Linked DNA regions of Callithrix jacchus. The protein of the gene in region 1 purifies or fractionates together with the protein of each later gene. This does not show direct contact. Links are inferred from orthologs where the notes say so. Each region holds a gene or a part of one and is shown in the gene's direction. Other genes may lie near its edges.

Region 1 (4,235 bases):
CTCTCTTGCTGAAAATGCATTCCTTCATTCAACAAATGTTTTTTCTTTTTCTTTCTTTTTTTTTTTTGAGATGGAGTCTTGCTCTTTTGCCCAGGCTGGAGTATAGTGGCACGATCTCGGCTCACTGCAACCTCTGCTCCCGGGTTCAAGAGATTCTCCTGCCTTAGCCTTCCAAGTAACTGGGATTACAGGTGTGCACCACCACGCCCAGCTAATTTTTGTAATTTTAGCAGAGAAGGGGTTTCACCATATTGGCCAGGTCGGTCTTGAACTCCTGACCTCGTGATCCACCCACCTCAGCCACCCAAAGTGCTGGGACTACAGGCATGAACCACCTCACCCAGCCCATTCAACAAATACTTATTGGCCACCACACTTGTGCCCAGTATTAAGTTGAGCACTGGAGATTAGGACTGGGACTAAGGGGAAGCAAGTGACGTGTTCAGGGCACAAAATAGAATGAGGCATGTACTCTCAGTCCTGTTTAAGAGAGGAATTGGCATGGAAGAGTGAGGTCCTTTCAGAAACTTTGCAACCTGGACACTTTGCTTAATGTCATCCTAGTATCAGCCCTGTTGGAGACGGAAAAGCACACAAGACAGAAATGATCTCTGGCTTCTTTTTGCCCCTGCAATATCTCATAACTATGTGTTGGTTATTCTGCCACCATATCTGAAATTTACATAATAATAATTATTATTTTTTGAGACGAAGTAGAGATGGGGTTTCACCATGCTGGCCAGGCAACTCCTGACCTCATGATCTGCCTCCCAAAGTGCTGGGATTACAGGCGTGAGCCCCCGGGCCCGGTCGGTCCAAATTCATGCTCTTAAACTGTTGTCTCCCGAGAGACACACGCAACATATTTTAAGCAAAGCACTGACCTGGTGTGGTGGTGGCTCATGTTTGTAATTCCCGTGATTTGGGAGGCTGAGTGTGGCTTGAAGCCAGGAGTTCGAGATTAACCTAGGCAATATATCTAGATCCCTGTTTTTATTTTTTTAAAAATTATAGAAAGCACTGGATGAGGAATGGAAAGATTTTCTAGCTCCCCAGAACAGTTTTAAAAATTTTAAAACTACTATTCCCAGCATGCCCTTCTCCCCTGGGTGGAGGGTGGGGCCTAGTAGAACTACATTTCCTCGAATGCAACGCCTGCACCGCTGGCTGTTTAGTATCTCGGGAATTGTAGTCCTATATAAAGATGTTGGTCCACAAATCCCAGCATGCACCTGTGATCCTACTCGTTTGGTAGGAAAAGGACGGGCTCTTGCCTCTTCACCCATCTTCACCCAGGCTGGCCCCATTGGTGAAACTACAATTCCCAGCGGTCTGTGCGCGAGAGGGCAGGCGGGTTTTTCTGCCGGAAGTCCGCTCTAGCTCAGGGCCCCCCAACTGCACCCTGAGCCGGAGCTGCCCAGTCGCCGCGGGAACGGGGCCGCTGGGGTCCGGACGGGGGTAGCCATGGTAACGGGGGCGCTCTACGCCGGGGACTGGCGGAGGGAAATGCACATGTAAATAGCCGAGGCTCGATCGGGCGCTGACAAGCCCCTCCTCTGCCGCGGATGGTCTGGGCCGGACGCGGGCTCTGGGGATTGGGGCCGATCCAGGGCCGGGAAGGAGGACACAGGGCGGGGATTCTCTGCGTGGGGGTCACCAGGGGTCTCGCGGGGAGGGGCATTGGGGGTGCGGTTCCAAAGGGAAAGGGCTGTGCAGGTGGGAGACATCGTAGATGGTTGGGAGCTTTGAAACGGGAGGAAACTCGCAAGGCACGGTCTTGGGGGTTGCGAGAAGGCATTGGAGGTGGGGAGGAGGCTTCCCAAAAAGGAAGGCGCTCTGGGAGTGTGGTGGGAGCGCTGGACAAGAACGGGGACCTTGGAACAGGGAAGGGAGGTTTTCTTGGTGTGAGGAGTCTCTAGAGACAAGGATTCGATTGCAGGTGGAGAGGGGATGTTGAACCAGGGTCAGGAGACTGCCTATGAGAGAGGGTTCATCTCAAGGAGAAGAGACCCGGCACAGGAAGCCAGAAGTAGGCAACTGTAGGGAGTGAGACTTAAGGGTCAGGGAAAGCGCTGTACAAGAAGTGAGGGCCTGGAGGTAAGATGAACACTAGGAATGAATGGGGAGCAGCTGAATAGATGTTGAATAGCAATTGAATAGGTCTTTCCAAGAGGAGAGATCTTGAGGGGTGGGGAATAGGCTTGGAAGTGTGAGATCTGGGGAGGGATCTTTGTTGGGGCAAAGACTGGACATTGAATTTCGGAGTGTCCCTGACACCCAGGCTGGGGCTTTGGATCTAGAAAAGGGTTGTTTGGGCCGGAAGTTTGGAAAGGGTGTCAGAGCCGGGAGCGGAGTCTCCTCCAGGAACAGGGTCCTTGGAGGCAAAATATGACCTTTTGAAGAAGGGAGGAGACCTGGGAATGGAACAAGGCATGTCACCAATTAAAAAGCCCACTGAGGCCCCAAGGAGGGGAACTGAGACTGGGAAAGTGGAGGTCAAAAGGGAACAACTCCAGAGGAGGAGGATTGGAGACAAGGAAGGTTGGGGGGCATCTAGAGGGAACAGCAGAGGCTCGAGGATGCAGGGATTCAGGACAGAGGGGACTTCTCAGGGTAGAGTCCTTGAGGAGGAGAGATTCCAGGTGGGAAGAAAACAGGAAGAAGTATACCAGGGAGTTTGGGAGTAAGAGGCAGAGTGTTTTGTCAACTCTGTGGGTTTGCCTCTAGTTCCCCTTCTTCTGTGTTCATGTCTCTGGCTCTGCTTCTAGGCTGTAGCTACCTTGTGTGGGTCCTAAAACGTCCCTTCCTGCCCGGGACCCTTGCACTGCTAGGAAGTGGTTTTCTCTGGCTCAGCAGAAGGAGTTCTTGGAAGAAGAGTGTAATATCCTGTTCCTGTCCAGTTTGGTTGGTTGGGGGAGGGAGGATAGAGTGTGTGGAGAAAAAGAGTGAATTCTCTTTCCTAAGAGAAGACTCTCAACCTTGGGCGGTGACTCATGCCTGTAATCCCAGCACTTTGGGAGGCCAAGATAGGTGGGTCACAGGAGGTCAGGAGTTCAAGACCAGCCTGGCCAACATGGTGAAACCCCATCTCTACTAAAAATACAAAAATTAGCCAGGCGTGGTGGTGGACGTCTGTAATCCCAGCTACTTGGGAGGCTGAGGCAGAAGAATCGCTTGAACCCGGGTGGTGGAGGCTGCAGTGAGCTGAGACCGTGCCACTGCACTCCAGCCTAGGTAACAGAGTGAGACTCTGACCACCCCCCCCTCCCCAACACACACACAAAAGGACAGGACAAGAGGATTCTCTTTCCTAAGAGAAGAGGCTCCCACAAGTTCGGTCAGGGGTTCAGAGCAAAGCCTTTGGACTCCCACCTCTGCTTTCTGGCTGTGAGACTTCCTTTCCCTGAATCTCAGTTTCCTCATCTATAAAATGGGCGTAAGCATGCCTGTCTCAGACAGAAGTGGGCCCAGAGCTTCCAGCAGGGTAAGCTTGGCCCCTGGTTTTCTGAAAATCACATAATGAAACGTGATGCTGCTAAGAGCTGGTACTTTTTTTTTTTTTTTTGAGAGGGAGCCTCGCTTTGTCATCCATGCTGGAGTACAGTGGCGCGATCTTGGCTCACTGTAACCTCCGCCTCCTGGGTTCAAGCGATTCTCCTGCCTTCGCCTCCCAAGTAGCTGGGATTACAGGCATGTGCCACCACACCCAGCCAAATTTTTTCTTTCTTTTTTTTTTTTTTTTTTTTTTTTTTTGTATTTTTAGTAGAGACAGGGTTTCGCCCTGTTGGCCAGGCTGGTCTCGAACTCCTGATCTCAGGGATCCACCTGCCTCAGCCTCCTAAAATGCTAGGATTACCGGTGTGAGCCACCACACCTGGCCCAAGAGCTGGTACTTATTTTTTTTGTTTAATTTTAAATAAAGATAAAGATGGGGTTTCACCATATTGGCCAGGCTGGTCTCAAACTCCTGACCTCAGGTGATCCGCCCGCCTCAGCCTCCCAAAGTGCTGGTTACAGGTGTGAGCCACTGCGCCCAGCTGAGCTGGTACTTATCTAACACTTTGTACTAGTCACTGTACTACACCTCTATTCTTTTTTTTTTTTTTTTTTGAGACAGTCTAGTTCTTTCACCCAGGCTGGAGTGCAGTGGTGCCATCTCAGCTTACTACACCCTCTGCCTCCTGGATTGAAGCAATTCTCCTGCCTCAGCCTCCTAAGTAGCTGGGATTACAGCC
Region 2 (4,326 bases), on another chromosome or scaffold:
TACACATGTCCTACAGTTTGTTATTACCTACCAATCCTGAAACGTTTTACACCCGTATTTGTTTTACTGCTTCGCCCTGCAGTCAGGAGACTCCTGCGGTTTATGAAACTGATGCAACGAGGCTTTTTTATTTTTGGTTGGGGGGAGGCGAATCTCTTCAAGAAGGGGACACAGTGGTTGCTTTTGCTTCCAAACAGCCCTATATCTGCCCATTTTTCGACGATCTGACCCTAACCTACTTTTTCAGGACGGCCAGAAGCACAAAATTATGAATCAAATAATGGTCCCTAACTACCACGTACCAGCTGTGACTTTGGGAGACTCCGTTCTTTTAGCCAAAGGTGATGGTCTATGAAACGGCCTTAATACCTGCTCTGAATACCCACATATGGCTGTTGTACAGCAGGCGTGAGGTGTTTAAAGTACTCCTAAGTAATTTATAAACTGCAAAACGCTTCCCAGCACAAGCGTCCGCTACAGAGCGCGACAACACCGAGTCGGCTTTAGAAACCCAGTTACTGGAATCCACTCCAGTTCCGTCCTGCTCCCACCTCCCACGTCAGGGTGGGCGAGCGGAAGAAGGTTCTCAGGGGAGAAGGCCTGAACAACTGGCTAAGAAAGGAAGCGAGAAGTTCCTTAGCAGAGGTAAAGTTGTTGGCGGCATTTTTAAGCCCCGAGAGTGACATAGCGACTCTCAGGCGAGATGATGGATCAGGGCGCTGGACTAGGAGCCAGTCCCTGGGCCACCTCCCAGGCCGAAGCCGGGCCTAGCCAGTACCCTCCCGGCGCAACCCTGGACCCAGGATCCCCGACTTTGCCCTCGTCCCCAACCCCCACAATCACCTCCCGTGGTCCCCCTCCACGTGACAAGAGGCGGAACCGTCACTTCCGGCGGCGCGGGCAGCGCGCCTGCGCTGGGCGACCAGCCTCAGTGAGCGGTTGGCGGCAGCGCTGCCCCGTCAACGGCCGCGAGTGGCGGGCGACTCGGGTCTGACGGGGGCAGCGGCGGTGCGGCGGGCTGCGGTCCTGCCAGCTTGCGGCCTGAGACGTCCAGCCTCCTGCCTGGAGAGGCCGGCCGCCCCGCCCCCTTCCCCGTCTCCCTTGCTCCCTCCCTCCACCCGGGCTCGCGCGCTTCAGGCGCAGAGTGAGGCAGCGGGGACGCCCAGGGCACTAGCGGAGGCGGCGGCATTGCCTCTGCACTCGGACCCGCCCCCTCGTGCCCCGCCCCGCCCCGTCCCGTCCCGTCCCCGCCCTCTCCACCGCCGTCTGCGGGAGCCTGGCAGCTGCAGCCGAGCCGCGGAGCGGGCGACCGGGGCCGGGGCTGTGCGCTCGGGGAGCACGGAATGTGAGGCTTGGCGGGCCGCAACGCGCTCGGACGCTCGGACCGGCTCGGGGCGGCGACCCCTCCCTGACGCCCGGCTGCGCGCTGGGCTGGGGACTCGCGCTCTTGGTCGCCCTTGCGCGCTCCCCGCGCGGGCGGGACCATGAAGAAGTTCTCTCGGATGCCCAAGTCGGAGGGCGGCAGCGGCGGCGGAGCGGCGGGTGGCGGGGCTGGCGGCGCTGTGACCAGCTGTGGCTCCGGCGGCTCGTCCGTGGGGGTCCGGGTGTTCGCGGTCGGCCGCTACCAGGTCACCCTGGAAGAGTCGCTGGCCGAAGGTACGGGTGCCCGGGGAGGCTTGGACAGGCAGGTGAGGGAGGGCTGGGGTGTGGCGGCGGCTTCTCCGGGTCTTCGCCCTCTGCACTGACTCTTGTACGCCGTTCTTCCTCCGCTGCCGGGCCAGCGGGGCTCTTAAAAGAGTGGCTCGGGCTTTCTCTTTTCAGCTGGCTTTTCTTGCCGCTGGCAGCTCTGGCCGGTGCACAGTTCTCTCATGCCGAGTTTAGTTCTCTCATGCCGAGTTTAAGTCAATTTCTATCCGTTTTGACGCGAGAAAATAGATAGAAGACGCGCTAGGAAGTGGGGTGGTGTTATGATTGGGACAGTGACTCATTAGAGGGTCAGATCAAACAGGATTGAAGCTCTGTTCTGCCAGCTGTGGCTCAGACGGGTGTCATGCGTTGGCCTCTTCGTCCGAGCCTCCACCCGCGCTGCAGGGCATAGGACCCTAAAGCCCCTGTTGTCGATCCCGGGTTTGCTGCAGCTCAGCCATCTGTTGAAAAACAGTGTATATGTGTGCATGTGTGCATGTTGGAGGTGATCCTTTAAATTCAGTTAGTAGGTTGCACTGGGAAACAGGTAAATTTGAAGCCCATTTATCTTTGTTATTTAGAATCTTCTCTGTTGGACAAGGTGTAATTCATGCCCTCTCAATATGACTTTGATAGTGGTTTAAAAGGTGATATGAAAGCAGGTTAATTTTCACTTGTGAAGTTTTGCGGTCGGTTCTTCAGGATCTGGAGCAGGTTATGACGGTAGGCAGAAGTCTACTTACAAAAAGAATTTATTTTAATACTCCATATTAAAAGAAAAATTTATTTCTTTTAATATTCCATATTAAAAGAAGAACTTAGACTTTAGTGTTGTATTTCTGGTATAATTGCCTTGTAGAAAACACTTTCCCTGTGTACTGCATGCTTCATTGGTCTGTGAGTTTTTAATTGCAAAATGATATTAAAAAATAAAAACCTTAAAAAATTCTTAAGAAATACATTTTGTTGATAAATGGCCCTTGTAAGTTCTATGGTTAAGATAAAAGAAATCGAAGAGTGGATTCAGTTCTCTGAGAGACGTTGATGTGGTTTGAAAAGAGTAGATTGAAGTTCCACTCGTATTTTTTGAAATGCTGTGAACAACGGTAAATTAGCACAAGAGAAAAACCTGAAGATTTTTGTATAAAGTATTCGAAAGAGAAAGAAATTGTGAATTATTCAGGTGTACATATCATTGCTCAGAATAATGATCTTAGCCGAAACTTAGAGAGGTGGGAGAAGGAGGATCCTTAGTTTTTCACAAGAATGAATATGTGGTGAGTGGTCTATAAAAGATTTACTATACTATAAAGTTTTCTAGCTCTTTATTACACATGAATTTCAATTGTTGGTTTACAATATGTTTTAGGTGTTAAGAACACATGTCTATTAAGTCAAATGTCATATATTGTCTTTGAATTGTTTTAGTAACTAATTGAAGTGTAGCTTGGGTAGTGTTAACGCTCACTTCATTCCACTAAATCCCAGATGGGTCTTTTTAATAGAAAAAATATATATATTGACATTTCACAAACTAGATTTTGAATTTGTATCACTCACTACCCTAAGCATATCCTATCACTACCCTAAGCAAACCATTTTCAATTAAAAAAAAACTTTGGAAAATAAAAAATAAAGATGAATTTCAAAAGGAGAGTTGATTCAACCACAGCAAAGAATGAAAATTTGTTTCAAGCGCTAATGTCACTGTTAGAGTGTTCCATATTGAGTTTTACCATAAATTCATCATTTCTCTTGAAAAATCAATAGTCAAGTGCTAGGAGGATGCAAGGGCTGAAGAAATCCTTTTGGAAGATGGGACTTCTCCATCCTATACCCCAGCTTTAATATCCTGGAGGGGAGGCCAAAGCCTAGGTTTTCTTCCCTTGTGTATTTTTGTTCTCTCTCCAGCACACTCACAACTGGAATTGTCTATGTATAATCAGTTTACTTTTTGATCCTGGCTGGTCTGTTCTTATTTCAGTTGCTTAATATCCCCTCTCCCTTCCAAATAAATAATGCTGCAATTTAGCCAAGATGTTTAAGCACAAGTCTAGTTCACATTTAAGTGTGATTAATCAATAGTTGATGGGTGTGCTTGATTGTAAAATTGGGCCAAATGCTTGTGAAAATGCATTAAAGTTTAGAGTACTTGATTTGGGGAGAGGCTTACCATTGAGTAGGAAAAGTGGTAGAAGCTAAGACAACCCGAAACACAAACTTGGTAGATTTTGCATTTTTTTGCTTTGGCCTAAGTTGTTTAAACAGAGCCAGGAAGACCTAACAGATTCTGTGCCCTGAAGTGTTTTTGCCATGCTCCTACAAACATTGGTAGCTTACTCATAATGACCTCTGTAGTATCTTTTCAGTAAGTCAGTCTGTGTCTCTCTTTCTCTTGTTATTTGTATATAATTAGTTATGTTCCAGAAAGTCACTGTGAAAACTGAATTAGCAAATCTTGAACCGTTGCTCCTACTACAGTGTTAGGTTCTTGAGAGCCTCTGTTCTCAACATTTTTGTCAGCTCATTAACATACAACCTTGTTTTGTGTGTATTGCAGTTTAAACACACCTTATTTAATATATTTGGTTGATTTATTAACATTGAAATCGTGGCCAACAGCTCTACCACTCATGCCTC
Region 3 (3,567 bases), on another chromosome or scaffold:
AAAAAGAAACAGAAACAGAAACAGGTTTCTGCAGCTGCTTCCTCTACAGAAAGGAAACCGGAAGGAAGTCCTATCCGGAGGAGGACTCTGGTCTAGAGAATGGGTCCTCCATCGACAACCTACTGTGTTTTTGTATGGCTCATACCTAAGAATGGTTTTTATATTTTTTCAATGGTTTGGAAAATTTTTAAAGGAGAATATTTCAAACTGAGAACATTATATGAATTTCAGGTTTCAGTGTCTACAATTTGATTGAAATACAGCTGTGCTCAGTAGAAAATATTCATTCAAGATACCTAAAGCATCAACATGTGCATGTACCATATTGCTTTTACAGCAGAGATGCCTTGTGGCAGGCTGTGTTGCCTGAAAAGCCAAAGATATTTACTGTCTGACCCTTTACAGAAAATGTCTGCCAACCCTTGGGCTAGAACAAGTAGCCCTTTCCATCCTCAGCATTGGGGTCATGAAGCAGGAGCCTCTGGCAGAGGTTCAGTGGTGTTTGTCTCTTCAGGGCCGCGGAGTGGCAGCTGGACCAGCCGTCATGGAGTGGCCGGCTGAGGATCACTGCAAAGGGGCAGATGGCCTACATCAAGCTGGAGGACAGGACCTCAGGTAACCGCAAGGGAGGCCGCTCCAAGCTGAGGGATTGCACTCCCACTTTATGAAGGGAGAGTTGGCCTGGTCTGGCCAGGCTGCTCAGGAGTCATGGGAACCTGTCCTGAAAGTCAGAAATGTGTGTATACCTTTAAGCTGTACCATTCCCTCACCTTAGTTGTAGAATGTACTGTCCCCAGGTGTACAAACGAGTATTTCCTGTTAAGCACCAGTTCTTTTTAGGAGTCCTCAGGAAAATGCGGAGGCCAAGGAAAGGAGACTGCAGCTTGGTCTGGGTAGGAAGTAGGAAGCCCTGGAATTGGCCTTGAAGACAGTCGGGGTAAAGATGCACAGCCTCTACCGCTGGGCTCTGCTTCCTACAGAGGAATTGTTTATCAGCGAAGCTCCCAGAGCTGACCACACCCATTCACTGAAGGAGCTGAAAACTGTCCTACTCAGCTCTTTCTGTAGGGAGAGGACAGGCCGAGGTGGGTCATGTTGGGGTCAGCTGGCAGAGATCGTCTTGAGGGAAACTTCACAGGTCCTGGGCCACCAGTGCCTCTGGGTGAGCTGTGGACGGCAATACCTCTGGAGTACCCCTCGCTGCCACCCCGAGTGGGGTCGGACATAGTGCTGGCCCAGTCAGGTGCCACAACGTTCAGTCATTTTTTTTTTAATCTGTAGAGATTTTCCTTTGTAGAGCAGAAGAAAGTGCAAAAGTTTAGAGACAGAACTGGCTGCCTCTTCTCAGAACTATGTTCTGCCGGAGCTGCTGGACATTGGGTGAGCCATGTGACCTCTGGAGCCTTGGCTTCCTTCTTGTTGAAATGAGGATCATGTTAGTTACTCCTTCATAAAATTGTTGGAGATAGGAAGTGAGCAGATACTTATCTGATTGCTTTATGAGCCGCAAGGCAACCCAAAGCATTGATGTGTTCTTTGGGAACTTGCGTTCTGGCGGCAGAGGAGTTTGAAGAGGCAGCTGCCATGGCCAGACCAGAGGATTTTAGCTAGAGAATTGCTGGGATATCCCAGGTAGTGTCATGAGAGAATGGTAACACCTCTTGTTCTCTGGGGAATTTGGGAACTGTGACTTTAACATGACTACCTAATGTAACAGCCACTGCCCAGGGCTTAGCCTGCCCTGTGGGACCCACCCCAAGGTGGTCTTTGCTTAAGGTCATACCTGGATCACGTTAGTCTCTGACCTTCCCATGAGGTAATGAGCATATCACTCTAGGCCAGGCTTTCTCAGCCTCGGCACTGTTGACATTTGGGGCCAGATGGGTCTTTGTTTTGGAGAGCTGTGGAGCCCAATGAGGATATTTAGCAGCACCCCCCAAGTTGTGTCAATCAAAATTATCTCTAAACATTTCTAGATGTCTCTTGGGGACAGGGGAGCAAAATTGCCCCTGCTTGAGAACTGCTGTAGGCTGAAGGTATCTTGGTGAGGTTGGAACAGAAGGCAAATAAATTTGACAAGCTGCAGATTCTAGGGCTGTTGGTTTTGAATCAGTTCAGCCTTGATTACAAAATTACCTCTAGGCAGGGCATGGTAGCTCATGCCTATAATCCCAGCACTTCAGGAGGCCAAGACAGGTGGATTACTTGAGCCCAGGAATTCCAGACCAGCCTGGGCAATATGACAAAACACTGTCTCTAATAAAAATACAAAAATTAGCCAGGCGTGGTGGTGCACACCTGTGATCCCAGCTACTTCAGAGGCTGAGGCACAAGAATCACTTGAACCAAGGAGGTGTATGTTGCAATGAGCTGAGATTTTGCCACTGTACTCCAGCCTGGGTGACAGAGCAAGACTGTTTGAAAAAGAAAACAAAAACCCAAAAAACAAAGTTACCTCTAAACCACAGGACTCAGTAGAAGGTATTTGGTTAAATACCTAAAGCACCAGCCAGGTGTGACTCATGCCTATAATCCTAGGGCTTTGAGAGACCAAAGTGGGAGGATCACTTGAGGCCAGGAGTTAGCAGCCTGGACAACATATCAAGACTCTATCTCTAATAAAATAAATTGAGTGGACATGGTGGTATGTGCCTATATTCCCAGCTACTCGAGAGGCTGAAGCAGGAAGATTACTTGAGCCCAGGGGTCGAGGCTACAGTGAACTATGATCCGCTGCACACTGCACTCCAACCTGGGCAACAGAGCATGACCCTGTTTCTTTCTTTCTTTCTTTCTTTTTTTTTTTTTTGGTCACCCTGGCTGGAGTGCAGTGGCGCAATCTCAGCTCACTGCATCCTCCAACTCTCCTGGGGTTAAGGGATCCTCCTGCCTTAGTCCCCCAGGGAGCTGGGACTAAATGTGCATGCCACCATGCTTGGCTAATTTTTATATTTTTTGTAGAGACCGGGTTTCCCCATATTGCTCATGCTGGTCTCAAATTCCTGGGCTTGGCTGGGTGCAGTGGCTCATGCCTGTAATCCCAGCACTTTGGGAGGCTGAGGTGGGTGGATCACTTGAGGTCAGGAGTTCAAGGCCAGCCTGGCCAACATGGTGAAACCCCACCTCTACTAAAAATACAAAAATTAGCCGGGTGCAGTGACAGGCACCTGGTTAAATTCAGACAATTGAATCTAAAACTCCGCTGCTCGGGAGATTGAGGCAGGAGAATTGTTTGAACCTGGCAGGCAGAGGTTGCAGTGAGCTGAGATCACGCCACTGCAATCCAGCCTGGGCGATAGGGCGAGATTCCATCTCAGGGAAAAAAAAAAAAAGGTATAAATCAAATTTCTGGTCTCAAGCAACATACCCATACCCGCAGTGCTGGGACCATACCCAGTTCATGACCCTATATCTAAAAGACAAAACAAAAAATACTAAAAGCACTAACAGAGGTCAGCACATGCAAAAAACTGATGCCAGTCATAAATGCTCATGGAAGTTTTACGTTGCACTGCGCCTGTCGAGTGCTGTAGTTGACAAGGTGATGTGTTTCACAAAGGATCCTTT

Evidence for each region.
Region 2: the proteins of AP2S1 (region 1) and BMP2K purify together in Homo sapiens (affinity purification with mass spectrometry; 4 studies listed by BioGRID and IntAct, counting the BioPlex papers as one, with this or other methods). This does not show direct contact. The link is inferred for Callithrix jacchus from reciprocal best matches to the Homo sapiens genes AP2S1 and BMP2K.
Region 3: the proteins of AP2S1 (region 1) and NECAP2 purify together in Homo sapiens (affinity purification with mass spectrometry; 3 studies listed by BioGRID and IntAct, counting the BioPlex papers as one, with this or other methods). This does not show direct contact. The link is inferred for Callithrix jacchus from reciprocal best matches to the Homo sapiens genes AP2S1 and NECAP2.

What each region holds. Positions count from the first base shown.
Region 1 is NC_133523.1:40,819,926-40,824,160, reverse strand, and holds the start of AP2S1 (AP-2 complex subunit sigma), read left to right. Parts: upstream 1-1,383; 5' UTR 1,384-1,464; coding exon of another isoform or gene 1,465-1,467; 5' UTR 1,468-2,746; coding exon 2,747-2,878; intron 2,879-4,235. UniProt on the Homo sapiens protein: Component of the adaptor protein complex 2 (AP-2). Adaptor protein complexes function in protein transport via transport vesicles in different membrane traffic pathways.
Region 2 is NC_133504.1:119,219,033-119,223,358, reverse strand, and holds the start of BMP2K (BMP-2-inducible protein kinase), read left to right. Parts: upstream 1-1,484; coding exon 1,485-1,656; exon of another isoform or gene 1,657-1,973; intron 1,974-4,326. Other genes in the region: uncharacterized protein LOC128931603, read right to left, coding at 929-1,486. UniProt on the Homo sapiens protein: May be involved in osteoblast differentiation.
Region 3 is NC_133508.1:53,756,579-53,760,145, forward strand, and holds part of NECAP2 (adaptin ear-binding coat-associated protein 2), read left to right. Parts: intron 1-514; coding exon 515-615; intron 616-3,567. UniProt on the Homo sapiens protein: Involved in endocytosis.